Notamacropus eugenii: one gene and its partners. The protein of the gene in region 1 interacts with the protein of each later gene in a biochemical or structural test. Links are inferred from orthologs where the notes say so. Each region holds a gene or a part of one and is shown on either strand. Other genes may lie near its edges.

Evidence for each region.
Region 2: the proteins of NET1 (region 1) and DLG3 interact in a test that uses a peptide from one of them, tested with the Homo sapiens proteins (2 studies listed by IntAct, with this or other methods). The link is inferred for Notamacropus eugenii from reciprocal best matches to the Homo sapiens genes NET1 and DLG3.
Region 3: the proteins of NET1 (region 1) and MAGI1 form a complex in vitro, tested with the Homo sapiens proteins (3 studies listed by BioGRID and IntAct, with this or other methods). The link is inferred for Notamacropus eugenii from reciprocal best matches to the Homo sapiens genes NET1 and MAGI1.
Region 4: the proteins of NET1 (region 1) and DLG1 form a complex in vitro, tested with the Homo sapiens proteins (3 studies listed by BioGRID and IntAct, with this or other methods). The link is inferred for Notamacropus eugenii from reciprocal best matches to the Homo sapiens genes NET1 and DLG1.

Annotation. Positions count from the first base shown.
Region 1 is NC_092874.1:209,073,504-209,081,203, reverse strand, and holds the start of NET1 (neuroepithelial cell-transforming gene 1 protein), read right to left. Parts: upstream 3,019-7,700; coding exon 2,855-3,018; intron 1-2,854. UniProt on the Homo sapiens protein: Acts as a guanine nucleotide exchange factor (GEF) for RhoA GTPase. May be involved in activation of the SAPK/JNK pathway Stimulates genotoxic stress-induced RHOB activity in breast cancer cells leading to their cell death.
Region 2 is NC_092879.1:100,486,434-100,493,696, reverse strand, and holds the start of DLG3 (disks large homolog 3), read left to right. Parts: upstream 1-4,256; 5' UTR 4,257-7,263. Other genes in the region: glycerophosphoinositol inositolphosphodiesterase GDPD2, read left to right, coding at 1,927-2,074, 2,226-2,308, 2,489-2,524, 2,629-2,737. UniProt on the Homo sapiens protein: Required for learning most likely through its role in synaptic plasticity following NMDA receptor signaling.
Region 3 is NC_092874.1:458,065,247-458,072,654, reverse strand, and holds the start of MAGI1 (membrane-associated guanylate kinase, WW and PDZ domain-containing protein 1), read right to left. Parts: upstream 3,018-7,408; 5' UTR 2,219-3,017; coding exon 1,906-2,218; intron 1-1,905. UniProt on the Homo sapiens protein: Plays a role in coupling actin fibers to cell junctions in endothelial cells, via its interaction with AMOTL2 and CDH5. May regulate acid-induced ASIC3 currents by modulating its expression at the cell surface.
Region 4 is NC_092877.1:387,070,950-387,078,821, forward strand, and holds the start of DLG1 (disks large homolog 1), read left to right. Parts: upstream 1-4,869; 5' UTR 4,870-5,080; coding exon 5,081-5,099; intron 5,100-5,231; coding exon 5,232-5,363; intron 5,364-7,872. UniProt on the Homo sapiens protein: Essential multidomain scaffolding protein required for normal development. Recruits channels, receptors and signaling molecules to discrete plasma membrane domains in polarized cells.

The DNA of each region.
Region 1 (7,700 bases):
CACTTAGAGTGAGGTAACGCCCATTCAGTGAATAGGCCTCCATAAGAAGTAGTCAGGGAATTGCCCTTTCAATGAACAAAAGAAAAAATATAACTAAATCAAACTGGGAGGGAAAGAGCAACAGTTACCATTGATAATCACTCTTTAGACCAGTAAACAGCCATTAAGTGGAGTTTGGGAAGGGACCTACTGTTGTCCAATCTATAGCTTCAAAGTGCACAGGGTTTAAGGTTTTGGGAAAGACAAGAAAGACAGAAAGAAAATAAAACCCAGCAGGAAGACACAGAAAGAGAAATTTCATTTAAAATAACTGCAGACAATATAAAATATGTGGGACTCTACATGCCAAAACAAACACAGGAACTATAGGAACACGATTATGAAACATTTTTCAGACAAAGTCAGATCTAAACATGGAGAAATACTAACTAAAACAAACAAATAAATAATTTATTATTAATATTAAATATCAAATTCATGTTATGAAATATTAAAACTTTAAAAATGGTCAAAATATAGCTATAAATATATTAATATATTAAATTAACAAATATCAAATAAGTAATAAAATAAATAAAAATTAATTATTAAAAATGGGGAAATTTTAATTGCTCATGAGCAGGCCAAGCCAAAAAAATATATATATATATGAGTGTCAATTTTACCTATTATTTAGCATCATACCAAACTACCAAAGAATTATTTTATAGAGTTAGAAGACAATAATAAAATTCAACTGAATGAACAAAAGTTAAAAATATCAAGGGAATCAATGAAAAAAATATTAAGGAAGGTGGCCTAACAGTACCAGATTTCAAACTACATTACAAGGCAGTAGTTATCAAAACAATTTGGTACTTAGCTAAGAAAAAAAGTGGTTGGGTACAACATACAGTAGTAAATAACTATGGTAATCTTGTTGAGTCAAGCCTTACTCTTCATGACCCCCCATGTGGTTTTCTTGGCAAAGACAATGAAGAGGTTTGCCATTTCCTTTTCCAGTGAATTAAGTCAAACAAAGGTTAAGTGACTTGCCTAGGGTCACACAGCTAATGAGTATCAGAAGCCACATAACTCAGTTCTTCCTGAGCTGCTTCCTAGTTGCTTCCCCTATAGTAATCTAGTGCATGATAAACCCAAAGATCCAAGCTTTGGGGGCAAGAACTCACTCTGATAAAAATTGCTGGGAAAACTGAAAAGCAGTTTAGCAGAAACTAGGCAGAGACTAACTTTTCACACTGTATACCAAGAAAAGGTCAAAATGGGTAGATGATTTAAACATAAAAGATGATATCCCAAGTAAATTAGTGGAGCATGGAAAATTTTACCTGTCAGATCTACGGATAAAGGAACAGTTTGAAGATCACAAGCCATAAAGAGGATAATTATGAGTACATCATGGTAAAAAGGTTTTGCCAAAATTAGAAGAAAAACATGAAACTGGGGGAAAATTTTTTTTTGCAGTAAGTTTCTCTGATAAATGTCTCATTTCTCAAATAAATAGGGAACTGAGCCAAATTTTTAATAAGAGCAATTAGTTTTCCAATTGATAAATAGTCAAAGGATATGTGCAGGTAGTTTTCAGAAGAAATCAACTCTGTTAATAGTTATATAAAAATGGTCTGAGTCATTAAGGTTTAGAGAAATGCAAATTAAAACAACTCTGATGTATGACCTTACATCTATCAAAGTGATTAACATGGGAGAAGAGGAAAATGACAAATGCTGGAAGGGATGTGGAAAAATAGGGACACAGGCACTGTTGGCGGATTAATGTGAAGTGGTATAACCATTCTGGAGAACAACCTGGAACTATGTCCAAACTATACATATCCTTTGACCCAGCAACCCATTACTAGGTCTACAGACCAAGAAAAGTAAAGAGGAAAGGGTTTATATGTACAAAAATATTTACAGCAATTCTTTTTTTTTTTGGTGGCAAAGAACTGGAAACTGAGGGAATGTTCACCAACTGGGGAATGGCTGAATGAATTGTGGTATATGATTATGACTGGAGTGCTACTGTGCTATAAGAAATGATGAGGGGGATGGTTCAGAAAAACCTGGGAAGACTCCTATGAACTGATGCAAAGTGAAGTCAGCAGAACCAGGAAAGCACTGTACATGGCAACATTTTAACAACCGCCAACTGTAAAGAACTTGGTTCCTCTGATCAAAATACTGATTCAAGACAATTCCAAAGGCCTCCCTCCTGCTGAAAAACTCTACCTCCAGGGAGGTGCACGGTGAAGCATACTTTTCTCATCTCTATTTCTCTTGCTTTTTTTTGCAACATGGTTAATATGTAAATATATTGTGCATGATTTCACTGTGTATAAGTGAACATTGCTGACCTTCCCAATGACTGGGGGAGGGACAAGAGCAAGGTGGGGGTTTGGAATCCAAAATTTAAAAAAATGAATGTTAAAGTGTAATATATAAAAAGGGGGTACTGGATCAGATACAAACATGTAAGGTTCTATTCTGCACCAAATCTTCTATTTCGTAAGATCACTGGATCAGAGATGGAAGGAACCTCAGAGGTCAAGTCCAACCTTTCATTTTACATATGAGAAAACTGAGGCTGAGAAAAGCTTAAGTGACTTGCCAAGCAAGGATCTAAGGCAGACTCCAAACCCAGGTCCGGACAATGCCCGGCTGGGCACGTAGGGTGCCTCTGCCAAGGGCTCCTTCCACTCTTTGGGGTGGGTGGGTGCCTGCTGACCCTCAGGCCCCCCAGGCAGGCGAGGAGGGGGAGGGGCCCGGCCTAAACGTAAGCAAGCCTCCCCCCAGCCCCGCTCGGCCCGAGGCCCCCCTCCACCGTCCACCCCAGACGCTCCTCCAACGCACGCACCTTCTCCGCGGGTCAGGCCCGGACGCGGGATCGTCCAGCCGGGCCTCCGGCTCGTCGGCGCTATTCGTGCGGGATGCGGCGGCTCGGCTGCCGCGCCTCCGAGGCGGGCGCTGCTCGGGCTCCGGGGCCGGGCTCTCCGCTGCCGCCGTCGGCTCCACCTCCATGGCCGTGGAAGAAGGATGGGAGGTTACAGGAAAGATCTCGGCGCCGCGGCTCCCCAGGGCTGGGCCGAGGAGAAGAAAATAGGGCCCGGCCTGACGCCTCCGCGGAGGGAAAGGGGTTTGTGTCAGGAAGGAGCCACCATAGCCAACATTACGGGGTTTGAAAAATGGCGGCAGGGCAGAAGCCGGCAAATCAGCGAGGCTCCGGAAGGCGTTGCTAGGAGACGCAGGAGAGCCCGCCTCCTGCGGGGCCGAGTGTAACCGGGGGCGCCGCCGCTGCTCCTCCAAGGAACCCTCCAAGTGGGGGGAGGGGAGCGGCCGGAAAGAGAGGGGAAGGGAAACGGAGGAGGGAGAGCTGGGCGCAATTAACTATTTCCTATAAAAAAATTTAAAGGGCTGACCGCGGGTACGTCATCCATCCTCATGGAATGGACTCCTCATTCATCCCCAGCTCCTCCGGGAATTTCCGAGCTGGAGGCCATCTCGGCGGCCGTGTAGTTAAATCCGGACCTAAACTAGAACTTCTGCCCAGGAAAAACGATCATCTGGGCTTTGATGAACTCCGGCGAGCCGGGAGCCGCCGCCTCCGAGGCAGCTCTTGGCACTTGGGGATAACTGGTTGTTACCTTACGTGCAGATGACGTTTGGTATGGTGACAAGATCTCAGCTGGGGAGTCAGGGAAACGGGGTTCACATTGGTACTGGACCCCTTCGCGTCCCCGCCTGGCAGCACCCAGCCCCGAGGGTCAGTTTCAGAAGAAACTGACACGAGGACGGGGGGGAGGAGCTTAAGTCACAAATCCGGGGGCTCCAGGATCACGTCTGACATCCTCTGACTTTAAAACCCCTCACCACCTAGCCCTTTACTACTTTTCTAATCCTACTTTTTTAAAAAATGTGTTTACACATCGTGTAAAATTCTCTGCTGCCTACCATCCCAGAGAACCAACCTCACTTTTTATTTTATTAGAAGACTCTGCCCCTACACAGAGTTTTAAAGTTTTTTTAATTTTAATTCTGAAATGTAATGCTCGTCTCCAGCAAAACAAAAAGAGCCACTAGAAAAAGATTTATACATATGGGACTTTTTTTCTTTTGGGGGTGGGGGTAGGGGACCTTTTTGGACGTGGTTCCAAAGTGCTTTCCAGAATGGCTGGAGCAGTTCACTGGTGTACTTGTACCCTTACCCCAGTGTTTGCTTTTCCCCCTTTTTATCACCTTTGCTAGTCTGTGTGTGAGTGAGATGGAACCTCAAAGGTGCTTTAATTAGCACTTCTCTAATTATTAGTGATTTAGAGAATTTTTTCTTAGGGTTCTTGATAGCTTGGATTTCTTCCTTAGAAAACTGCCTGTTCATACATATCCTCTTATCATCTACAAGTTGGACTCTTAGTCTTTATAAATTTGAATCAGTTTCTTATAAATTTTGAATATGAAATCTTTATTAAAGAAACTTAATGCAAAAATTTTTGCCCAGTTACTCATTTCCCTTCTAAGTTTAATTACATTAGATTTATTTGTGCACTAGCTTTTAAACTTTATATAATCAAAATTGCCCATTTTATCTTCATGATAGCTTCCATTTCATAGATCCTAAAGATAACTTTTTCCTTGTTCCTATAATTTATGATGTAATCTTTTTTAAAAAATGTGAATCAAGTATCCATTTTGGTTTTTTTAGGTTTTTTTTTTGTGTTGTTGTTTTTGTTTTTGAATTTTATTTTCAGTTACAAATTCTTTCCTTCCCTTCAGCCCTTCACCCATCCATTGAGAGGGCAAGAAATACAATACTCATTGCACATATGAAATCATGCAAAGCATTTTTGCATTGGCTATATTCCCCATCTCCCCCCAAAGAAAATTTAAAAAGGAGGAAAAAACATGCTTCAATTTGTACTCTCCCAGTCTATCAGTTTTCTAAGTGGAATGGATCCATTGTAGTGGATTATTGTATTGTCCATTTACTAAGTCTAGAAGGAAATGGCAAACCATTCCAGCATTTTTGCCAAGAAAACCCTAAATGATGTCATGCAGAATCAGATACCACTGAACGATAACCACAACAGAGTTGTTTTTTAATGATAGTACAATTTGAGATCTTATACCGGAACTGTGCAACTTGGCAATAGGTAGGGGCCAGAATTAAAATAGGTTAAACTTCTTTGGGCTGCGGAGAGGTTTTTAGTGGCTCACTTTCCAAGTAAAGGTATATAATTAATCATCAAACTATTTCTCAAAAAACATTTTTAAAAACAATCAGGACATAATCCAGAAACTGTAATTAGCAAACACTTTTTGAAATCACCTTCAATAAAAGACTTCCCAGTAGCAGCAATTTCTTTAGAAACCTGAAAACTAACCTTAGTAGCTGCCTCATTTTCTGAGTTTACTTTCTTGAAAAACCACTGTTCTCCGCTGAGATTTTTCAACAATTTGAATGCTTCATTTGTTTTTCTTTGGTGTCCAATTTTCATAAGTCAGGAGGTTTTCATTTTAAATGGTGATGAAGAGTATATTCCTTTGGAATGGCTATTTTCAGCAAACAAGGCACAATATTTTGTCTCTCGTGTAAGTAAACTTGTGTCTATTTGTCCACTCCAGATTAAACACTCTATGTTCTGATTCCATCTTCCATTTCTTTTTATCACCCATTTTACAGTTACCCCAGAAACTTTAATGTTAGAGACAAAAAATCTCCACAGCAACTGCTCACATCCAAAGAAATACTGAACTGAGTGTCTGACCTTGGAGAGAGCACTGGACACTCATGTAACTTGGAGGGTGACTGTGCAGCGAGGGAGGAGAAGAAACCCTTAGGTGGTTGCTGCTCATTGCATAGTGGGCATCAGCTGCATTGGCACATTGCTACTCTCACTTTGTCTCTGTTCAACACCAGTAATGACCAAAAACACAGTGAAAAGATATGACTCTCCTCTCAGACTAGAGACAGATTGACAATGGTTGGTTGTCTTGGGTCATGTAACAGATAAGATGGGAACAACAGTAACTAGTGGAAGGTGGGTTACACTGGGGGAGGGGAGGTAGGTGGGCATGGACAAAGCACTCATTGCATCTTTACTTTCTCTTACAAACTCAACATTTTTCACAGGCCACCTGAAAACTTTTGGTGGGCAGCATGTAGTACTATTTTTACTAATGTCATAATAATTTACTTTTTTTTTTCATTTCTTCCATTTTTTTTCATTATTACTCTTGGGATTCTTGACCATTGAATCCTGCAGATAAATTTCATCATTTTTCTAGCTCTATAAAAAATTTCTTTGGTAGTTTGGGTACAGGACTGAATAAGTAAATCAATTTCTATTTTTATTATATTGGCTAGACTAACTAAGTGCAATGAATATTTCCCCAGTTGTTTATGGTTGTTGATAGCTTAGATTTTTTTTTCCTCCGAAAATTTTTTATTCATATCCTTTGACCATTTATCAATTGAGGAATGGCTCCTTTTTATATATTTATATCAGTTCCCTACATATCTTAGAAATGAGACAATCAGAGAAATATGCTGCAAAGATTTTTTCTCCCAGTTTTCTGATTGTGTTTTAATTTTAACTGAATTGGCCATTTTATGTAATTAAAACTATCCATTTCACCTTCTGTGATTCTCTTTATCCCTTATTTGGTCATGAACTCTTCCCATAGCTATAAATCTGAGAAGTAATTTCTTCCTTGCTCCTCTAAGTTGTTTGTGATGTCACTCTTTACATCTAAGTAATGTAACCATTTGAAGTTTATCTTAGTATAAGGTACGAGATGCTGGTCTATATTTAGGTTCTGTTAGACTGATTGTCAGTTTTCCAAGCAGTTTTTGGTGAATTGTGAGTTCTTTCTCAATGTCTGGGATTTTTGGGTTACTCAATAAGTTTCTGTGTGTGTGTGTGTGTGTGTGTGTGTGTGTGTGTGTGTGTGTGTGTGTATATATATATATATATATATATATATATATGTAGAGAGAGAGAGAGTGTACCTAATCTGTTCCACTGATTGATCTCTCTATTTTTTAATTAGTACCATTTAAAAAAATGTTAATTGCTTTGTAACATAGTTTGAGATGTGATATTGCTAGGTCCTGTTCCTTCCTAATACTTTCTAATTAGTGTCGTTGGGATTCTTTTGTTCCTACAGATGAATTTTGTTATATTTTTTTCTAGCTCTACAAAGTAATCCTCTGGTGGTTTGATTGCAATGGCACTAAGTAAGTAAATTAACTTGTTTTATTGTCATTTTTATTGTTTTAGCTTTGACTAACCCATAGCAATGAATAATTATCTGATTGTTTAGATCTGTATTTATGTAAAAATTGTTTCAGGTTACATTCACATCACTCCTGTATGTGTGTCTTGACAAGTACTTTATAGCTCCTAAAATTATTGTAAATGAAATGTCTCTCTCTTTCTCTTATTTCTGGGCTTTGTTGGTAATATACAGAAATACTAATGTTTTATTTGGGTTTATCTTATATGTGTGATTTTGCTGAAGTTAAATGTTTCAATTAATTAATTTCTTTAGTTGACTCTAGGGTTTTATAAGTAAATCATCATGTTATCTTTAAAAAATTATAATTTTGTCTATCATTATTCCTTCCATTTCTTATTCTTATTTTATTGTAATAAATAGAATTTTATGTACTTTATCAAATAGCAGTGTTATTAATGGACATCCTT
Region 2 (7,263 bases), on another chromosome or scaffold:
CACTATCTCATAAGAAGAGCTGGAGAGAGATGTGCACAGTGATGACAAGATAAATGATCATCTAAGTAAGGCTGTCCCTGCCTCTGGAGCTGGGCAGCTCCTTCTCCCATACAGGAGTGCTTTGCCATTTCCTTCTCCAGCTCATTTTATAGATGAGACAAGCAAAAGAGATCAAGGCCACCATTTTACTTTATGTGACACTGTTCTCTCATCTTCCATCACTCCCTCTCCGTGGCTTTCCTTGCCCACTAACAGCACGCTCAACTCTCACACATCCAACAAACAAATTCACTTGCCCTTCCATCCCCTCAAGCTCTCCTCCAATATCTCTCTCCCCTTTCACAGTTGCCCCCTGGGACAGAGTGGTCTATACTCTTTGCCTCCACTTCCTTATTAGCATTCAGACATTTGCAGTGTGACTCCAATGGCCAGGTGGCTGTGCTCTTCTCCTAGACCTGCTTTCTGGCACCTCTCTTTCAGTTCTCAGTGGTCTTTGTTGGGTGATTGATTCCTTCCTTCCCCCTTCGTGTGGATGGTGCCAGGTTTGCCAATCTCATCATTTCCCGTGGGTTTAACTATTTCTTGTCCCAATGCAGATGACTCCCGAATTTCTCGACCCATAGCTAATCTCTCTCCTGACTTGCAGTCCTGAATACACAGTTTCCTGCTGACCATTCCTGGCTCTGTGTCCTCACCCTGAACTGAAGATCCTTCCCGGGGCTTCCCCGTTTCCAGTTGATCAGGCTCAAAGCCTGTAATTCCTTCATCTCAATTATTCCCAACCTCCCAGTTATTTGCCACATCCTCTCAATTCTTCCTTCCCAACATTCCTTCTATTTGGCAGCTTCTTCTGACACCCTCCCCCTGCCGCTACTTCCCTCATTCAGCCTCTGGACTAGGGCAAGATGCTCTGACTTCCAGTCTCATCTCTCTCTAATACATCTTTCCAAAGCTGGCCAGTCTTGCTGAGATGACTTCCCATTGCCTTTAGGATGCATTGGTAGATGGCAGGGTGCCTTGATAGGTGGCCTGGTGTGTTGGTGTGTGACTGGGTACATTGCAAACCGTTCAGCCTGGCCATGAAAGCCCTTCCCATCCTGTGCAGTCACAATTCATGTTGCTCTCTTAGTAAACGCTAGCTTCTGCCTCCACACTTTTGCACAGATCGTGCTTTATGCCTGGAATGCCCTCACTCGCCAGCTCTGCCTCTCAGAATCCTTGGCTTCCTTCAAGGCTTATCATCTGTGCCACGTCTTCCAGTCAGCCCATCCTGCTTCTCTTTAGTTGTCAGTACTCTGTCCTTGAAATCACCCTGGACTGACTTATCAGTGTCCAGGCTGTATCCCCATCTCAGCCTTCTCTGGACTTTACAATGCCATGCCCATAATAGGCACTGGTCTAAAAGGGTTTTTGTAAGGGATCTAGGAGGCTTGAAAGGTAGATATGTGACCAGATTGTTGATGAAGGCAGATGGGGAATCATTGAAAGCTTTGGAGAAAAGGAATGAAATGTAGCAAGATTCATGTGACATCTTGGATTGAAGAGGCAGAGACCAGAGGCTAGAGTCTGAGTAGTAGAACACTGCAGTGCTTCAGTGAGAGGTCATGGGGTTCCAGACTAAGGTGGGAGCAAAAAGGAGAGGACAGAAGAGATATTATGAGGTAAAACTGGATGGGAATTGGTGACCAATTTAATGTTGAGAGGGGCTTGAGGGAATGATTGGTAGTGCTGGGAAGCCATGGGAGGATTCAGGAGGAGGGAGTGGGCTTGGAGGGACAGTTCCTGAGTTCTGCTGTGAAGATGGTGGGTCTGAGGAGAGGTTGCTAGTCACTTGTGCAGGGAGAAGGGATGAGCCTGGAGGCACCATGGAGTCTGTGACCCATGATCCATTTCTGTGGGAACCTTTTCTTTCTCTATCACTCACAGGCTCCTGCAGCATGACAACATTTCTGTGAACCTGTTTGTGGTGAACAAGCCTTGGCTCTTCTCCCTTCTCTGGTGTGCTGGGGCTGCCTCAGTCACCACCAATGCCTGCCAGCTGCTGCAGCAGCTGCCCCATCCTGTCTGGCTCATTGTAAGGACTGTTGGTTTCCCTCCCTCTCTACCTGCCCCCTCCGCTACCATCTGGACCTTCCCTTAACCCCTAACTCTTACTCTCCCACCCCTGCCCCCTCACATAAAGTGAAGTATGTCAGGGGAAGGTTCACTCATAAATGTCTCTACAGCGCCCCCAGACCTACCTACTGATCTGGATTGTGGCAGACTGTGTATCTGCCCTGCTACTCCTCTGGATCTTCCTCCTCCAGGGGTAAGTGCCTTTTCTGCATCCCCTCCCCTCCCTGTGGTGTCATGGCACTAGGTGCCACCAGGGCTTGGAGTCCAATAGGTCCTTGGCCACATTATTGGGTGGCCCCCAAACTGGGAGTGTTTGAGGGAAAGGGGAGCTCAAGCTACCTGGATTGATGGTATGCTCCTTTCCTCCCTAAAGGAAATGTGCCAGGGAGCAAGAGAAACCTGGTAAGAGGTACAGTGCTCCTCATGTTGGGTCTTGGTTCCTTGGCCTCCCTGTTGCCCCTGCCACCACCACTCCCTCCCACATCCACTCTCATGCCTGGTGTGTTCCTCCAGTCTCAGAGAGTGCTGTGCTGCTGACCAAGATCAACCTCAGGCTGGAATGAGTGAGATGCCCCTGTTACCTCCAACCCCACCCCCTTCTGGAACCTCCACTGGCCTCTGACTCCAAGATGCTGCCGCTTCTAGTGGGAAATTGGGTACCACTCTGGCCATTCCTCGATAACTGGAATGTTCCAAGGCTAGCCTGCATCCCGCGCGCTCTTGGGATGGTGAGGACAGCGCACTTTCTGGCTCTTTCTGTCAGTCAATGAATCGAATCCTCCAATCCCCCACATCGGCTCTGCTCGTTTGCCTTCAGGGATATAGGGGGTGGGGACAGGGACCATCACTGCCGCTAGCTGCCCAACAGCACCACCTAGTGCTCACAGCTCCTGAGGACCAGAACCTTGGGGAGCCCTGGCTCCAGAGGCCGCCCCCCACCCTGATTCTGCCGCTCCTGGCCTCTCGCGGATCATATCAGGGGCAGAGCTAAGAAGGACATTAGAGACCCCTGAAACGAACCGAGGTTCAGCGAGAAAGCGACTCCTCGTCAGAGAGAGGCACAGGTTTTGGAGCCAGAGGCCTTGGGTTCAAATCTCAGCGCTGATACTGTGAGACCTTGGCCAAGTCACATAACCCCTTGGAGCCTCAGTTTCCCCATCTGTTACAGAGACCACTTGTCGTCCAAACTCTTCTTTATAGATGGAGAAACTGGGGCTCTGAAGAGGACCAAGAATCCCTTGTTTAAGGTACTCCTTCCCATGTCCTCTGCCTCCAAATACTCCAGAACTTGGCTCCTTCCGACACTGCTCAGCCAAGAAAAGCAGAACAAGTTTTCACTGGGCTGCAGATGGGGAACCAGAGAGCTGAGGAGGAGGCCCTCTCAGGCCCCCTCCAAGCTGGCTGGGTTCATGTTCCTTTACTAAGTCCATAGCTCCTGTCTGGCTTAGCTGGGGGAGGGGGGACAAGCTATTGACTAGGGCACTTGGATTCTGTGGTTGGGAGGTCCTCTGAAGCACTGGTACCCATAGGCCCACATTTTCAATGGAAGGCACCTGCCTGTGGCCACAGCAACAGGATGCAGGGATTACAGCCCAGGCTGCATCTTGACTGGCGGGGGAATGTTTGAATTTGCTCAAGAGACTCCCAGCTCTTTTCCTCCCTTTGTCCCTCCCTCACTTAAAGAAATTAGATATGGAGGGAAGCTCCCCACAGAGGAGTAGCCTGTCCTGTAGCTCTGGATACAGTGATGGGAAGATAAACTGTGTTTGATGGGAGGGACTGGGCAGGTCCCAGGCTGGGGAAGGGCTTGTTCTGTTTTGGTTTTTTAACCCAATCTTTTCCATACATCTGTCTCCATTTTGTCTCCCAGCCCCCCAGTGATAAATCAGAGTTCCTATCACCCAAACAAGCTGCTCTCTCCCCCACTTCGCACCTTAGCTTCTTGCATCCTCATCCTTACAGCTCTAAGGCTTACAGACCTGCAGTCCCCAGTCCTAAGCCCCAGGGAGGGCTGGCTCACTGGGGTTCGAGTTTTCCTGCTCCATTATTTTTAGCTGCTGACTCACAACTCCTGGCATCCGGGGCTGGGGCTAGCGGGCTGGGCTGGGGGCTATTAATAGAGCAGTTGCTGAGCTCCAACCCAGATCAGTTTCAGGGCCACATGAAACTAGGATCTGTCTCCATGTCATGCCCTTTGGAGATACTGTGGACCCAGACAGGGGCTGCAACAGATACTCTACTTCAGAAGCCTGGAAGGGGGAAGCCCTTTCTGGAGCCCTTGGGAGCAGCTCCTCACCTAACACCCAGGCACCTGGCATATGTGGAGTCCAGAGTGAAGGCCCCAGGGCCAGGGCCGGAAACAGTTCAGTTTGGGGGATATCCTCAGCCCAGAACCTTCTGCTCTTAAGAGAAACTTAGGAGGAGTGAGATGGGGAGAAGCTGCCAGCAGAAGGGACCAGAGATCAGGAGGGAGAAGGCTGAAGTCACAGAATCACAGCTGGAAGAGGCCCTAGAAACACTGGAGTTCGGCCTCCTCGACTGATGAAGGGGAGATGACTTGGCCATTGCTAGAAGGCTCTGATGTCTCAGCACCTTCTCAATTCAATTCAACAGACATGGATTATCCGCTGTGCAGTAGAGATAAGGTTGGGAAAAAAAGGCCTTCCCAGGCAGCCACCTTCTACTGTGGAATGCAAAGTGCAAACACAAAACAAGTTAGTGAGATAGAGAGAGAGAGCACTAAGGGATTTAGGAGACACTTTCCATAGAAGGAGGCACCTGAGCTCAATTTTGCAAGAGTTCAGAGATTCTCAGAGGCACAGAGAAGGAGGAAGGGCATTCCAGGTAAGGGGAACAGCCTGGGCAAAGATCCAGAGGCAAGAGATAGTGTGTCATGTGAGCAACAGTGAGAAGGTCAGTTTGGCTGGACCACAGGGTTAAGGGGGGAGGGGGAGGAGAAAGGGCAATAAGGCTCTACCATTAGAAGCCATATTGTAAAAGGCTTTAAATGCCTGCGTGGGGAAGGTGCATTTTCTCCTAGAGGCAATAATGGGGAACCAGTAAAGCTTCCCAGGAGCATGAGCATGGGCAGAACTGGGCTTTAGGAAGATGATTCATGCAGCTGTGCAGCTGTGGAAGGGAAGGACTGAAGGCAGTGAGCCCAACCAGGAAGGAGGCTGCTGCCACAGTCCCAGCCAGAGGTGGAGAAACTGAGATGGCCTTCTAGGTCCTCAGGTGTGGCTTTTTGGCTGCGGGCTACATGGGACCTCAAAGCCAAAGGTTCCCCACCCCTGGTCCAGGCACAAGGTGCGGATGATGGTGGGTGGTAGCCATGAGGGGGGAGGGAGAATGACCAGGGACAGTAAGGAAGCGGGAGGGACCTGGGATGAGCCTGAGGTCCCGGTGCCTCAATTCCATGATGCTACAGCAGGTGCCCCAATAGGTAGGTCTCCAGGCCCTTGTGGCCTGTCAGCAGGGATGCCCAGCAGGCACAGAGCTCCCCTCAGGTTCCCATCAGGACTTCATTCCCATCAACCTCTTTGCCACAGGCCCTTCCCCCCAGAGTGTCCGAATTGTAGTTTAAGGAAAATGGAAAGTAGGCCTCAGCTAAGTTAGGAGCTCTGTATGCAAAGGGCTGGAGCTTCCATTTCCTTTCCAGCATGAGCTGAGCATGAAACTTTAGGCATCAGCCAACAGATGGGGGCACCATTAACACCCACTCACCTCCCCTTCCAGAGGCCTAGGGTTCCAATGTGTCTGGGGAGAGAGGGGGTGGTAAAATCCCACTGAACTTCCCCCCACCCCCTTCAGCTCTGGCTTAGGCCTGGCTGGTTGCCTAGCAACAAACAGACCACCTGCAGGCTTGTGGGGCCTCTTAACCTTGTCAGGAGGTCTGTCTTTCTGCAGTTGGAGGTTGGGACCCTTAATCTGAGTAGAGCATAACTTGCTGGTGTTGAGACAGACCTACAGATTCTTAGGACTCTGCCTGCTTCATTTTACAGAGGGGGAAAGTGAGACCCGGAGCAGGGAAAGGACCTGCAGAAAGTCACCCAGAAAATATCTGGTGTTGGCAGGACTAGAGCTCATTTCCTACCTAATTCCGAGTCCTTCATTGGCCTGGGAGGTGGCCTAGGAGAGCATCCTAATCTCCAGAAGCTCTGGGAGGGGGTTAGCCCCATTGGATGTATCAGGAAGCTAGGAAGGGTTCGAGGTGGAATTCCAACCAGGTCTGTTGGCTTGAAGTCTGGCCTCAGTCATTCCTGATACATCTCATTTATTCCCTTCTCCATAATGTCCAGACTGAGTCCTATAACTGTAACCATAGGGAGGAAGATGACCTCACCTGTTTGTTCCTTACATTCTAAGAGACTCCCCAAGATGCTAACAGCACCCCTTCTCTCCCTCCAGGACTGGGGGGAGGAGGCAGGCAAAGGGGATCTTTGCCCCTGACCAGCTCTGGGATCCAAGCATTTCCTAATGAGTCTTCTGGGGAACCTGGAGCGGTACTTCCCAAATCTGACTGAGTTCCCTGGCTAGCCCCAAGGAAAAGTGAGCAGCCACTCCTAAGAGGTTGTTCCCAGGTCCTAGAGGCATCTGGGGGGCTTTAACCAGACCCCCAAATCTCCCTCTGAACAGTTCTCTCTCCCTTTAGAAACAGAGAAGTGGTTTGAATGTACAGAGGAGATAGCTCTGGGTCAGGCCAACTTTTCTGGGCTAGTCCAGCGTGGAGGACCTCTCTCCTCCCCTGAAACATCTTGGAGCTGGGGGTCAGGGTCATCATAGGAGCTGGCAGATCTAGTTCTGAAAATTCTCACTTGCTGGGGAGTTCAGCTCTTCCTAGAGCCAAACCAAAGCTCTTTCTTTGGTCCCTCCCCCAAGTTTCCAGCCCCAGGCCCATCTCGTTCCCAACTCACTCTCCAGTATACTGCCCATGGCTCACCCTTGTGCCTCAGCTATAGCAGCCCTCCCATGCCCAGCTAGCTTTTTTATTCATGCTTTGCTCCCCCCGCCCCCCACTCAGTTCTCTTCTCTCTGGGATCTTGGGATGGTGGGAGAGCTGGGACTGAGCCACAGCACCCACCAGTGCAGATGTTGCTCTTCTGGGAGCCTTGAGATCTGTCGCCTAGATTTGTCTCCAAGGCTTCTCTC
Region 3 (7,408 bases), about 250 Mb from region 1:
AGGAAGTGACCTAGGCAAACTTCAGAAATAGCTCTAGATCCACCTTTCCTTTGGCAATCTCCAGTGACAGCCAATTGCCATCCCCCTGAAACATTCCAGGATGGGGAGAAAGGCCCTGAGGAGGATTCTGCCTCCAGGGCATCTGTGAAAGCCCACAAAGACTGACTCAGCAACTTACAAAGTGAGGAGGAGATCTGGAGCTGGGGTTCCCAAGCCAGCTAGGTCAAAGAGGGAGTTCACTTTTCCCTTTAACCCAATCACCTTCAAGCAGTTGATTCCAGTCATTTAGACCTACAGGTATCAGTTAAACGCAGTTATTTAAGCCCTTCCTTCAAAACTTTCTCTAGCCCTAATAACGTGGATAATTGATGTAAGGAACAGTTTCCTGGCATTCAATGCTTGTTGTGTCTCTGAAAGTAAGAAAATCTGTTTTAATCAAGTCTCCAGGGGGTCATACAGAGGCATAGATGGGGGGAGGGGATGGAGAAGGGAGTGGTCTTTATGCATAGCAGGATTTTCTCTCAAAAATCGGAGGAAAATAGGCAGCAAAGATCCCTCCACAGCCACTCCCTTCATCTGGATAAACCCTCTTTCAAAGAGAAGAGGAATTGCCCATCCCAGCCCAGATTCCTCCTTCCTTGCATACATTCCAGACAGCTCTGCAACCTGCCTTCCCTTTCCAAGCAGGCTGTCATCTACAAGGGGGAAGTTTTCATCACGGTCAGTAGAATCCAACCTCCTTGGGCGGTTCATCCCAAGGGAGTATGGTGGCTGGCTGCCTTTCAGAGTTACACAGTCATGCCCCTCTGAGACCAAGAGTTTCTGTAGATTATGGCTTTTCCCCAACTCCAAAAACTGAACACCAAGTCCTGAGGCTGGGCCCCTTTTAAGCAATTTAATGTCATTCCTTAATGAGTGGAGAACAGGGCTCCTTTAAAAGCTGACTCAGGGGCAGACAGAGGGCATTCCTCCTTCTCCTTCAGCAGGTGCTATGATCCCCTTTTCCAACCTTTCAAAGGGTCACTAACATTCTCCATCAAACCACCTTCACTTGATCTACCCAAAAACACACACAAAGTCTCTCTCAATCATCACTTCTGCTTAGAGACAAGATCCTTGGGCTTTGACTTAAAATGCTTGTGCCAAAGAGAAATAATCGAAGATAAGAATTGGGAAACACCTGAAAACCTATCCCACTTTGGAGAAATCCGTAATGTGAAGGGATGTTTGGGGCCAACAAAAAATGGTCTAACAGGACTATGGGTCACAGTCCTGTGATGAGGGGATGGGATGCGAAGGGGGATGGGGAGGGAGAGACTGGATAAAAAGAGAAGTTAAACTACCCCTCACCCAATACTGGGACTCTAGATTGGGCAGTCAAGACACAGAGAGACAGAAAGGAGGGGAAGGGGAGTGAAGATGATGATGGACAGGCATATGGTACCTCCCACACACCTTCAATTCTGACCACGTATATGGGGGTGGGGGAGGAAAGGGAGATCGCCTCCCCTCCATTCTACTTTTTGCTGGGAATCACGTACATTAGTCTCAGCATCCCTACCTAGCTTCCCCCCGCCAAGGCTGAGGGGCACCTTGCTGCTAACTTGGACCTTGGGCATAATAACGCCGTCACCCAGTCAAGCTCATCTGCCAAGCCCCGCAAAGTTTTTTCAGGCGGAGTACGGCCCCCCTAAGGCCTTGGGGACAACTTGAGATTTCTCGGATGTACTGGAGGGTGTCAGACTCCACTTCTCTTCCCCCTGGGCAGAGAGGGTAGACAGAGGTGTGAGGCACCCCTAGGGGAGGGAGGGGCTTGCGGTCCCACGTCCGCTTCCCCAAGGTAGGGGATGGCGAAGGGGGGGTGTGCTCATAACACCACCATCAGCCGCGGCCCCTCCTTCTCACCTGGTCTGACGGCCTTGAAGGTGACGGACTCCTTGCAGCTCTGGATAACTCCCAACACGTCGTAGCGGGGCAAGCCAGACACGCGAACCCCGTGCACCTCCAGCAGCAGCTCGCCCTCGCTGAGACTGGTGCCCTCGCCGCCGCTGGCAAGCCCCAGCTCCCCGTCCGGCTCCACGGAGCCCACGTAGGGGAACTCGCCGTACTCGGCTCCCCCCAGGACGGTCAGCCCCAGTTCGCCCTGGGGTCCCCGGCTCAGGGTGCACTGATGCACCTTGGTGGTCCAGTGATTCTTCTTCTGGATGACTTTCGACATGGTGCTGGCCACGCGCGTGGCGCCTCCAGACCCCCGACCCACACTCGAGTGCACACGCACACGCGAGCGGACCCGCAGATACACAGGAATGCGAAACAGGTGGCCCCCGACAGCAGCAGCAGCCCCCGCCCCGAAGATCAGCTGGGGCGCGGAAGGGGCATGTCCCCAGAGGGCACCCCCAAAGACAGAAGCTACGAAAGAAACTTTGCGGGCTCGCCCTCCCCCAGCTCAAGCCATCCTTAGGCAAACTTTCTCAGCGCCTCCGGGCTCCCGCCCCTGCCGGCGGCCAGCTTTGTTTGCATTCCAGTCCCGGGAGATCCACGCTGCGCCAGCCGGCCCGGGGCGCCCGGGGAGCGCAGCCCACTTCGGGCTGGTGCCTTCCTCCTCTCTCTCCCTCCTGGCTCTCTGCGCGGTGGTCTTCCTCACGGGCGCTCTGCTCGGTCGCACTGTCTCCCGAGGTGGGCTTCAGAAAGGGCTAGCCTGGCTGGACCAGCTTCCCCGGAGCCCAGAGTCCGGCTCTAGGTGGAGGGCACGTCGGAGGGGAAGGAGGCGGGAGGCGGGAGGGAAGGGACCGCGGCCCCTTTAAACAGCTACAAAGGCTCGGCTTGTTTTGTTACATTTCATTCTATTCCGTCCCACCGAGCTCCACGACCGGCGATAGTAAACGCGCGCGCCTGCGCCCTGGAGCCGCTAGCTCCTTCCCTGCCCCCTCCCCTTCGGAGGAGATTCCAACGTTCTTCCCGCTGGGTCCTAACGCCGCTCAAGTCCAGGCGCAAACTTCCCCCCTCCCTCTAATGCCTCGGTCCAGCAACTTCGGAGAGGCTGGTAGTTTTCCTTCCCCTCCCCCCCCCCCCCCCCCGCCACCCTCTTCCCCGTTCAACGTCTGTTTCCAACTTTTTTTATTCTTTCTCTTGTACCTGTACGATTTGGAATGGGTTTAGTCTGGGCCAGGCTCGGCGGCCGGGGTTGGGGTCCCCTTGCGCCGCTGGACAGGCAGGCAGGATCCAGCGCGCAGGCACGCCGACCCTGAGCCGATTCACCTCCCTTGGCCAGTGGCCAACCCGGCTGCCAGTCAGGGAGCCGGCCCAGCCCGCCCCTCCCTTTCCCGCTTGGACTCTGACTCCCCGAGGCCAGCCGGGGAGGCGTGGGGACTGACTGCGCAGGGCTGGCCCGGGGGAGGGCTGAGCCAGCTGATCTGCCCCACCGGCCGAGAACCGGACGTACTGTGCACACCCTGGCCTTGATCTCCTGCCCTAGGGCTAGGCGGACCCGGGTGGCCCAGGGCCCTGGCCGGGCTGGGTGGCTGGGCTCTGCTCTCCTCTCTCCATCCCCCGGGGGTGTGGTTCTCCTTGGGGACCAAAGGCGAGCCCATATGGGCTTCATATGAGCGTCACATGTTGGTAAACGACTTCTTAAAGAACTCCCGGAGCAGTGGAGAAAGCCCCGGATCGTAGAGTCTGAAGATCTGAGTACGAATCCTCACATGGCTGTGTAATCTTTCAACGCGACCTTGCACCAACCACTCATCTGTCTGGACCGTGATTCCTTCATTTCTAAAGTGCGAGGGTTGGACTAAATCATCTCTAAAGCCTTTCCAAGTTTCGATCCGAGATCCTAGCGAGACATCAAAAAACTGATCAAGAAACGCATTTGGGGGGAGTTGGGAATTCGAGTTTTTAAACCCTTGAGTTCAGTAGCAATTCTTCTAGTGTCTCTGTGTGACCACTCTGTCCCCTGTAACCCAGGCTTTGCCCTTTGGAACCTTTCAGTTACTCAATCGCCACAGACAGTGTTTTCGTGGCTGTTGATGAGTGTCCCAGGACTTTGTAGATGAGGCAGGGTAGCATGGAATGTAAGCAAGGAAAAGGCTAGTCGCTGCACTTGTTTCTAACCATGCCTGCCTCTGAGGTGCCCTTCTTACTGGCAAAGTGCACTAGCACTCTCTCCCCCATCGTCTTTTGCTCGTTTGCTCATCTCTGCTGAAGAGTCCTTGCCCGGGTGTTGTAGAACTGATTTCTGTTTCGAGAACTGCCTGGAACAAACCCCAAAGAACCAGAGGTGGCTAGCTTCAGACTCACAAGAAACCCCGAAATTGAGCAATATGGAGGGGATTGGAGGAAATATTAAATTACTGGAGAGGGAAGATGTTTGATAGAGTCACCCAGAGCTTCAATGGTACAGAATGTTGTATATACCCTTGCACGGAATCAGTTGTGAATACTTACTCTTTTTTCTCTGTTACAAGAAAGGTTCAGTTTTGAAGAAGTAAGGAACATCTGGAAATGACTGATAGAAAAACAAAAGGCATTACTAAAACTTTAAACACATATGTACATATACCTATATCTTCTAAATGAAAAGTTTGCATTAAAAACCCTAAAGATCATGTTGAGTGATCCCAAAATAATAGATAGCGTGTGTATCTTGTTTTAAGGTTTACAAAGCACTTTACGTATGTTAACTCATTTGATCTTCACAACCCAAGATGCTATTATCCCTTGCTAACAAATAGGGAAACTGAGTGAATTTAATTTGAGTCAATTCACTTTAAGTCAAGTGAATTGTCCAGGGTCACACAGCTAGGAAATATCTAGTCAAATTCTACCTCCAGTCTTCCAGACTCCAAGACTTACATCTAACTTTATGGGCCAATCAATCAACATTTATTAAGCACCTACTATATGGCAGGCAAGACAGTCCCTGCCCGAAAGGATTTAACAATGTAATAGGAGAGACGATGTGCAAGCACATATATGAAAAGCAAGCTAGATACAAGTCTAATTAGAAATAATTAACAGAGGGAAGACGAGTATTAAGAGGGTTTGGAAAAGCTTTCCAGTAACAGATGGGATTTTAATAGGGAATTGAAGCTGGGGAAATCAGTAGGGGGAACTGAGAAAGGGAGAGCATTCCAGGCATAGGAGACAGCTAGAGACAATTCTCAGAGCTGAGTGATGGAATGTCCTATTCTAGTGTCAGTGGATCAAAGAGTACATGGTGAGGAGTAAGGTATCTTGTTTTAAGGTTTACAAAGCACTAAAGTTTCAGAAGACTGAAAAGGCACAGGGGACTAGGTTATAAAGGGCTTTGAAGGTCAAGCAGAACAATAGGGAGCTACTGGAGTTTATTGAGTAAGGGAGGGACATAGTTGAACCCACACTTTAGGAAAATCACTTTGGTGGCTGAATGGAGGATGGATTGGAGTGGGGAGAGACTTGAGGCAAGCAAACCTGCCTATAGGCTGTTGCAATAATCAAGGAGTGAGGTGATGAGGGCCTGCACCAGTGTTGGTGGATGCAAAGGGACATATTCTAGAGATGTTGCAGTGGTAAAATCAATAGATCTTGGCACTAGCTTAGTTATGGGGGTAAGAGACAGTGAGGAATCCAGGATGACTCCTAGGGTGAAAGCCTGAGGGATGGGAGGGTGGTGTTGCCCTCCACGGTAATTGGGAAGGTAGGAGATAGGGAGTATTTAGAAGGAAAGATAATGAGCAAGGTTTTGAATATGTTTTATTTAAGCTGTCTACTGAATATCCAGTTTGAGATGTCCAAAGGTCAGTTGAAGATACAAGATTGGAGGTCAGCAGAGAGATTGAGGAAGGAAAGGTAGATCTGAGAATCATCAGTATAGAAGTGATAATTAAATCCATGGGAGATCATGAGAGTTGGTCCAGTGCAAAGAATGCTGAATTTATACTATATATGAAGACCAGGGTTTAAATCCTAGCCCTGTTACTCATGATCTCTTTGACCTCAGAAAAATCATTTCACCTCTCTGCGTCTCAGTTACCTCATCTATAAAATGAGGAACTTGAAAAAACACTCATCCAAAGATCTTTTCACTTCCAAACCTATGATGCTTATGAATCACAAATAAGTAAAAGAATCCTTTTTCAAAAGTGAAATTCCAGTACTCCAATGTTGTGTCAACACCTTGGTTTTAGAATACAAAATTAATACTATCTTGGCACATATTTCCATATTTATTAGGCAACTTGCAGGACCTCATTAAAACAAGACAGAGTGAAAATGAAAAATCAAGACTGGGAAGACATTGCCCTTAAATCCTCATTTTGCCTGATGGGTTTGATGAAAAAAGAAACTGGCCAATTCTTTGGATTTCCCTCATGTAGTTGGGGAGTGGGCCTCAGGTTTCACTTGTCCATCACTAGAACTAGTTCTGGAACCATTCACCTGACTTGACCTCACTGCTTCAGGTGGGCCCCCACCCTGACTGAGCTTGTGGGAGGTGGGTTGTCTTGCAGTCAAGAAGGTCCCTTCTGGGCTTCTTCCTATTCTACCATGCTGTCGCCCTCTCCTGGTTTCCCTTAGTCTCTGCAGCCAGGAAAAATTGAACCAGACTGGAGAAAAGAAACAGAGAGGTTCCAGGCATAGTTTTCATCCTAGGCAAAGAAACAGTGATGAATGAGGAAGTGGAAACACACAAGAATTTCAGCAGCCAGATAAAGAGACAGGGGAGGGAGGCAGGGATGTGGGGGAAAAAATAAGCACACAAAAAGTAGCCAAGGATGCCTATTTTAGGGCACTCATTTCGGGATGTTTCCAAATGCTTTCCCATCCTCTTACTTGGCTTGCCTTCTATGTTTCCTCAATGGGAATACTTCCTCTGACTAATTCCCATCTGAAAAGTGGGATGGGAAGTTGAATTGCAAAGTAGACAACTTTTGACGCAGATTCAGGTCTGGATCAGCTCTGGGTCCAAAGAATAAGAGATGGTATGTATACAGCTCTTTGAGGTTGGCAAAGTCAGGAAGACTTGGATTCAGGTCCCACAATACTTACTAGCCATGTGACTCTGAGCCAGTCTCTTAGCCACTTTATAAAAGAGGGAGCAACTCTAAATCTATAATCCCACCAACCCTCAGAGTTCCATGCCTCAGTTTCCTTATCTGTAAAGTGTAGATAAGGTGGCCTCTGAGGTTTTCTCAGGCTTCAGATCTATGATCTTGAGTAGAATCATGGGGTCATGGGTCTCTATGTATGTTTATTAAGCATTTAATAAGCATTTATTAAGCACCTGTTATGTTCCAGGCATAGTACTGGATGACTTTAAAGGCCACTAAGCCCAAATCTACCATTTTATACATGAGGAAATTGAGGTCCAGAGAAGCCAAGTTGCTTACCCAATGTCACATAGCTAGTACAGGAAACTGAATTTGAACTCAGG
Region 4 (7,872 bases), on another chromosome or scaffold:
CTGCTTCTTCCTGGCTTAACCAATGTGGCCACCCATTCTCACCTCCTCCCAGCACAGTCTCTCCTCTCTCTCTTTGTATCTCTCTGTCTCTGTCTCCTTTCTTCCTCTCTATCTCTGGGTCTTTTTCACACCCCACCTATCCCTCTTAAGTATCCCTTGTTTCCTGCTGCCCCCTCCAGATGCTCCCTCTGCCACCATCACTCAGCACCCTGTTCTTTGAGGTCCATTCCATCTCCTTCTAGCCTGTAGTCTAGATCCCAGGAGCTCCAGGCTAGAGGGGCTCTCGATGCCACCTAGCCCACCTGCAGAAAGCAGGATCACAGGTGAGAAGTGAGCAACCTCTGTTGGAGGTGGTCCTCAGATGAGGGAGGAGCCAGCCTGCCTAGCTCCGCCTCTGTTCAGCTTCTGTCCACTCCCTGTGCCCTCTGGGCTCGTGTCTAATGTGGCTGCAGGAGCACCCTTCACACACATAGGCAGGGTCCGGATCCCTCCTAACTCTCTTCAAGACCAACATGCCCCAGTCGCTTTAACCAATTCTCATCTAACATAGACGCAGGGACCTTCTTCTCCCGTTGCCCTCCTCTGGACACTCTCTAGCTTATGGGTGACCTTCCTGAAATGGATAGTCTAAAATTCTTGATGGAATGCCTTGGGGTGGGAACCAGGAAGAGCCAAGTTCAAATCTGGCCTCAGACACTTACTAGCTGGGTGTCCCTGGGTAAGTCACTTCACTCTGTTTGCCTCAGTTTCCTCATCTGTGAAATGAGCTGGAGAAGAAAATGACAAACCACTCTGGTATCTCTGCCAAGAAAATCCCAAATGGGGTGATGAAGAGTTGGACATGCCTGAAATGGCTGAACAAAATTCCTGATGGAGTCTTGGCTGGACAGAAGACAGAGGTACCACCACCTCTTTGTTCCTGGACACTGTGCCTCTCTTCATGCAGCCCAAGATGGCATTTGCTTTCTGGGTTGCCACACCACTCCCTGCTGATCCTTGAGCCTGTGGTTCACTCTAACCCTCAAATCTTTTTCAGATAAATTGCCATCTAGCTCCATTAGTCACACATCTCCTTCATCTTACATTTGTGGAGCTGACTTTTTAAAACTCAAGTCTAAATGTACTTTATCCTTATTCCATTTCATTTAATTAGATTTGGCCCAATATTCAAGCATGGAAAGATCTTTTGAATCCTCATTGTCATCCTGGATTCCCTAATACAAGGAACAAGTATTTTAAAGCTGCCCCAAGTCCTTACTGACGATTGCTGCCACGTATAAGACGGAGTCCTGCTTTGGGGGAATGGGGGAGAATGTTCTGAGCACCATTTCCTGTCCTGTCCTGGGGTGCCTGAGGACATGGGGTTATATAGCCTCCTAAATAAGGGCTTCCTTTGATGAGTGCAGCCTGTCTCCATCAGCAGCCTGACCTGGCTGCATGACTGGCTGGATAAAAGGCATTTCCCCTCTCAGAACCTCAGTTCTGCATCTATAAAATGGGGATAATCATGTTAGCATTGCCTACTTCATAGGGCTGTTGATGAGTGATGATGGGGAAATGATCTAACGATAATCTAGCGGTGTTTTATCAGGTCTAATTGAGGGTTCCCAGTTTTATTCTTCGCTCTGGAGGAAGTGCCTCAGAACAAGCCCAGAAAAACCTGAGAAGAAATTGTTTCTCCTGGAACCCAGGGTCTCCCTCTTGGCTTTCAGGGAAACAGCCCAGGAAAAGCAACATCCTAATCATGCCTGATAAGGCTCCCCTAGTCTCCCACCTGCCAAAGTAATTCCACTAGCTTCAAAAAGAAAAGTATTGATCTCCTGTCTTTATATCATCTTCATCACCAATTTAATTCCCATGTCCCTTATAACAAAGAATGAAAGAAAATCCAACAAAACTAAATAACACACCATCGTGAATGAATGGAAAAACGCATTAGTCCTTGAGGTACAAATATAAGGAGCCGATTTTCTAACAGGAGAAGGCAATCTGTGTGGTGGAGAAGTGGCCAGAGGTGAGGAATTAGAGTAAGATGGTCTGGGTGGCGTCTTGGGCAGTCAGGTGGTGCAGTGGACAGAGCACTGGGCTTAGAATCAGGAAGATTCTCCACAAGTTTAACTCTGGCCTCAGACACTTACTAACTGTGTGACCCTGGGTAAGTCTTGGTTTCCTCATCTGTGAAATGAACTGGAGAAGGAAATGACAAAACATTTCAGTATCTCTGCCAAGAAAACCCTAGAGAGTTAGAAAACACAAAGTCAGACCTGACTGAATGATTAAACAGTAAGTAGAGGGCCAGCCAGTAGACATTCATTTACTCACCAATCAGTGGCTTTGGGCCTTACCAGATCATCTTCCCAGGGTCTAGAAGCCTGTATTGCTAAGGCAGCCCCCTCCTCCCACAGGAAGCAGGGGGAGGAAGATGAATTTTCAATTATGATCCCATGTTGGTGAGTTTCCATCACCGACACTGTCCTTTCTATGTCCACTACTGTAGTCCTGGGTATATCATTTTCCTGGTTCGGTGTTCTTCATTTTGTATCCGTTCTTAGGTTTTTGTGTCCTTCTCTATATTCTTTATATCTGCCATTTCTAATGGGGCAGTAAGTAATATTCTGGTGCATTCACATGCCACCATGCCATGGGGATCGTGAGCTACTCTCTCAGCTTTCAACTCTCACTGCTAAGTCAGGTCCCTAGAACTTAGCTCCTAAGCTCCTACTCGAGTTCCCTGCACCTCCGCCTAGGACTAGCAATTGGTGTCAATGAGTCAATCAGATTAATTAGCCTTTAGATAGGGGTATTTACTAAGGTTGTACCCACCACCCCATTTCACAAGGACACACAGCGTCCTGGGGAAAGCAGGCTCACACTCTGGGTTCCCAGAGGCCCTTTTGCTGGTCTTCACAGTGTTCCCCTTCAGTCTCCTGCAGCTGCCTGATGGGATCCTCACAGAGATTTGAAGTGACTGCCTTTCCTTAATGGGTCTAGTTTGTCCTCAGCTCCCAATGCGGACAGTGATACCCACCATGATTGTCCCAAGGACGCTGCTGGGAGTCCAAAGCCTCGACCTTCCAAGAATGGGGAAGTGGGGGTGGGGTGGGGAGAGGAGTCAGGGAATCCCTCCCTGGAGAGGCTGGACTGCCACCTCTCCTCTGCGGCAGTGCTCCGAGCCTCCTGGTTGTTCTACACAAACCAGGGACACGACTGGCCTTCTTCGCAGTCGCAGCACAACCCCACCTCACCAGTGGGCATCTAGGTAGAGCGCCTCTGACGACCCAGCGACTGATCCAACAGGCCTCCTCCGGACCTGCTCCTGCCCCTGAGGCCTGGCTCTCCGCAGCTGCGAAGCAGGGACACGGAGCCTTGCTCGGACTGTTCCAGCCACAGGATGTGCCTCTCCCTCCCCCAGGTTGGCCGCCACGAGAAGGGCTGCTCCAGGCGTTGGGTGGGCACGGCCGGGCGGCCTGCCTCTGAGGTGTGCCTAGCAGCGCGGCTCCTGGGTCAGGAGGGTGGCGCTTGGTTGTTTTCGGTGCCAGACTCCGAGCTGCTGCCCAGGGGTGGCCCGCCTCACAGCCCACTGGGTCAGGAGGGTGGCGCTTGGTTGTTTTCGGTGCCAGACTCCGAGCTGCTGCCCAGGGGTGGCCCGCCTCACAGCCCACTCACGAGCCGGCACCGAGCGTGTCCATGCTGGGTCGCCTGCCCAGTCTCCTGCATTCCCGGGCCTGCGAACAGCGGTTCTCGGGGCCCTCCGGCCGTTTGTCCTTCCACCTCACACACCTCGCACAGGTGTGTGACGTAGCAGGCCTCCTCTTTCCTTCATTGGCCGCTTCCCTGCCCATCCAAGTCCCGCTGACTTTCTAAGGGAGAGTCTGATCAATTTTTTTCCATGACAAAGTGATCAGAGCCACAGGTTCGGGGAATTGGGCCGGAGCCGCCAAGGCCGACCCTGTCATGGTGTAGATGCGAAAGTGGGGGTCACAAGGACACAGTGACCCCCCGGAGGTGCGGGGCGCAGGGCCGGGCTGGGGCTGCGTCTGCGGGAGGATCGCGACAGGGGCCTGACCCTGCTGGCGGGACCGGACCGGACCGAACCTCACCGGGTTGTCACGGGCAGTAACGGATTTACCTCAGCGCTGCCAGGAGCGCCGGGGGGTCCCGGGGGCACTTTACACGCACACGCGTGCACACACATACACCTGCGCACGTCGGCAGGCGCGTGACCCTGGCTGACTTTTCCGTGCCTCAGTTTCCCCTGCCCCCCGTGGGGTCCGCCAGCTTCGGGCTCCCGTGACGTGGGGGGGCGCGCACGGTCCAAGCACAGCAGGGGGCCCGGGGCGCGGCCAGAGGAGGCGGGGCGGGCGAGAAGCCCCGTCCGTCCGTCCGTCCGTCGTCCGCGGGTCCTTCACAGAGGGGGTTCTCGGGGGCTTTCCCGCAGCCCTTGAAGCCCGGTTCGGGGCGGCCCCGGGCCTCGGTTTCCCCCAGCCCCTCGGCTCCGGCCCGAGACCTGGGCGCTCCTTTGGGGTTTCTCCCCCACCCCCACCTCCACGAGCAGCGGCGGCTCCTCCTCCGGGCCCCGCCCCGGGGCGTGGCCAGCCCACCTGCGGCTCGGCCCCGCCCGTAGACCGGCTCGGTCGGGCTGCCACCTGTGGCTCGCGGGCCCTTTAAGGCGCGTCGGCCCCGCTCCACGGGGGGGAGGGAGTGTCCGCCCCGCCCCTCCACGGGCCCCGCCCCCTAGCGTCTCCGCCCCCAGGGCCCCGCCCCCTGCCCCCTCTCCGGGGCTGCCGAGCGTTCGGGCCGCTCGGGCGCGCGCCGCCGCCCGCTCACTTGCCATTGGCTGGCGGCGCGGGGGAAGGCGGTCACGTGGGGGCGCGGCCGTCCGGCTCGGGGGCCGCCATCTTGGAGGAAAGTTTGAGGGGAGAGCCCGAGGAGGAGGGGGAGGAGGAAGGGGAGGCGGCGGCGGCGGCGAGGGAGAGACGGAGAGAGACGGAGGCAGAGAGAGGGAGCGCGGGCGGGGAGCGCGCGGGGAGCGGGCGGCGATGGCGCTGCGGGCGTGAGGCGGGGCCGACGCGCGCCAGCCATGCCCGTTCGGAAGCGAGGTGAGCGGCCCGGAGGGGAGGGGGAGGGGAGGGGGAGGGGAGGCCGGCGGGCGCGGGAGGGGCGGGGGAGGGGGCCGGGGAGGGGGCGGCCCCGCCGCGCGCTGACGCCTGCCCCCCGCCCTGTCCCCGCAGACACGGAGCGCGCGCTGCGGCTGCTGCAGGAGTACCGCGCGCAGCTGAGCCCCGCACACGACCGGCCGCTGCGGGGCTCCCTCGAGCGCGTCATCGGCATCTTCCAGAGCAGCCTCTTCCACGCGCTCCTCGGTGAGTGGGGGAGGGGCGGGGGAGGGGAGGGGCGGGGGAGGGGGGAGGGGAGGGGAGGGGAGGGGAGGGCCCGCCCCCGCCCCCGCCCCCGCCGCTCGTTACAAAGTTGCCAAGTTCGGAACTTTCCCCTTCCCCGCCCGAGGTAAAGGCGCGGACGCCGTCGGGGCTGGGGGAGAGGGAGCGCCCCGGGGCTGCGGGGGGCCTGGCGGGAGGGGGGGCCCCGTGCACCCCTTTGGGATTAAAGGAGGGTGGTCTCCTGCGGGCTGTACGACGGACACGCCCTTAGCGCGGTGCCTGGCACGCAGGAGGGGTGGCAAAGGCTGGCACCCTCTTGGAGTTGGAGGACGGGGGGGGGGGGGGGCCTTCGGGGCAAGGGGGCAGCGGAGCCCCTCCCCCGGGGGGGTCAGTCTGGGCCGGCCTCCGCCCCGCTCCGCCCGGACCCCGACCCACAGCCTCCGCCCCCCTCGGCCCCCTGCTGCCCGCCCGGGCTCCTCCCCTCCTCGCCTGGTGATGGGCAGAGAGGCGGGAAGCTGCGGCCTTGGCCGAGGGGTGGCACGCACCGTTCGTGCCCGTGCGGGTCCGCGGTCCCCGGTTCGGGTGGGGTCCGAGCGCGTGCGGCCCGGGAGCGGCCCGGGGCAGGCAGGGCCGTGAGGAGCGGTTCGGGGTAAGGAGGCTTCCGAAGCCCGCTGAGCTGGGGCGCCACCGGGAGCCCGGGGCACCTCCTAGCCGGATCGCCCTGTGGACCTCAGCCGCCGCCTTCGGACCGGCTCCGCCCAGCCGTCTCCAGGCTGACCTGCCCAGGCACCCCCCTTCCTTCCCGGAGTGAGGGCTTGCAGCTGCTAGAGGCAGGGGCCCCCCAAGACTACTCAGTTCAGCCGGGGCGGGCCGCCAGGATTGGAACCCAGGACTTTGGCTCCAGGCCACCCCGAGCAGGGCAGAGGAGTGAGGGCACAGCCTGGGATTCGGGTGAGGAGAAGGAGGAGCGTTTCACTTGACAGAGGAACGTACCGGATCCTAGCAGAGCTTTCCGGGGGCGTCCCTTGCTGTTGTGGAGAAGCCAGAAGGGTCCAGACTGGTTAACTGAGACAGTGGGCGGTTCTGTGCCAAGAGGCCTTCACCCTGGTGGACCGTTTTTCTCAGTTCTTTGGATCAAAGGACAGAAGGCAGGCTCTTCGCGTCCAGCCGGGAGGGACAGCGGACACCCTGGACAACCGAGCCCGAAAGGACTTGAGAGGCCCCAGTGTTGGGCCAGGTTCAGTCGATGCACTGCAGTAAAGATCAGTGTGAAGTCTCGGACCTGTCTGTGCCAGTGGACCTCATGCAAAGGCAGCTGTTCTGAACAAGATGGGATGGGCTTTTGTGGCCTGCGGATTCAGGATGAATTAGCAGTGACCTGTCACGTCCAGGAAAGCCGGTGAGATGTCTATGGACATCCAGCTCAAGGTGCCCAGAGGCATCAGGTGGAGCAGAGCTCCGTATCTGAGAATCATCTTCGTAGGAGCCCAGGAGGGCTGAGGAGGGCACCTAGGGAGACGGTACAGAGGGACAAGGGTGGACCGTGCAGGGTGAGGAGGCCGCTGCAGGGACGGGAACATGAAAGGTGCCAGAGAGGAGGGCTGATGGGGGCAGTCTGCTGGAGAAGATGGAGGACTGTGGGCTCCAGATTGAGGGGTTTCCCTCAGCAGGAAAGCCTTCCTTTTCATGGGACACAGGACTAACAGTACTTAGTTGTCAGAGGTGGGGACTGCTAGAATTAGCTATAGAAGTGGATTCCCTATAACTGAGAAAGCAAGCACTCTACCAAGTGCCTAGGACCTGATCAGGGAGAAGCAAACCACAGAAAATTACAGGATAATTGAATTAAACATTTATTAAGCACCTACTGTGTGCTTGCTCTTGGTTAGGTGCTAGGGATACAGTGGCTGCTCCCAAGAAGCTTACCTGCTGGTAGGAGGGAGAATCAAGTTCAGATCCGTCACACCCAGAGTGTATGGTGCCCAAACCTGGGCTGGCCTGCATAGGGCCCCTCCTCTCTTTGCCCTGCTGGTCCCACCTATTGTGGATTCAGGAAACCTCCAGAACCCACGTCTCTCTCCTGTTGGTTTTAAGGCTTCCCCAGAGGTGGGTAATATGAATAACAGGGCCCCCAGCTCTCAAAAACAGTCAAGTTTGGCAACTCCCTTGGACTCCAAGAAGATGTTGTAAACCTCTAAGGGCTTTTTACTGCCCACCTGAAATTGTTTTTGTGGTGGAATTCAGGCGTTTGACATTCCTGATTAGTCGATCTTTATTAATGAGTCCTCTGGGGTCTCCTAAAGCATAAAAAAAGTAGAGTACAGTGCCTGCCAAAGATACCAAAGTCTCCCAGGGCTGTGCCTAGGTGCTGTGGTGAGGCTGTACTGTGGAGGAGCCATCCAAGAGTCTGCACTCAACCCTTCACTGGGTTCCTAAAAAAAAACTTCACTTTTACCCTCTCACCTCCCCCTTTTTCCCCTCCATTGAAAACCTT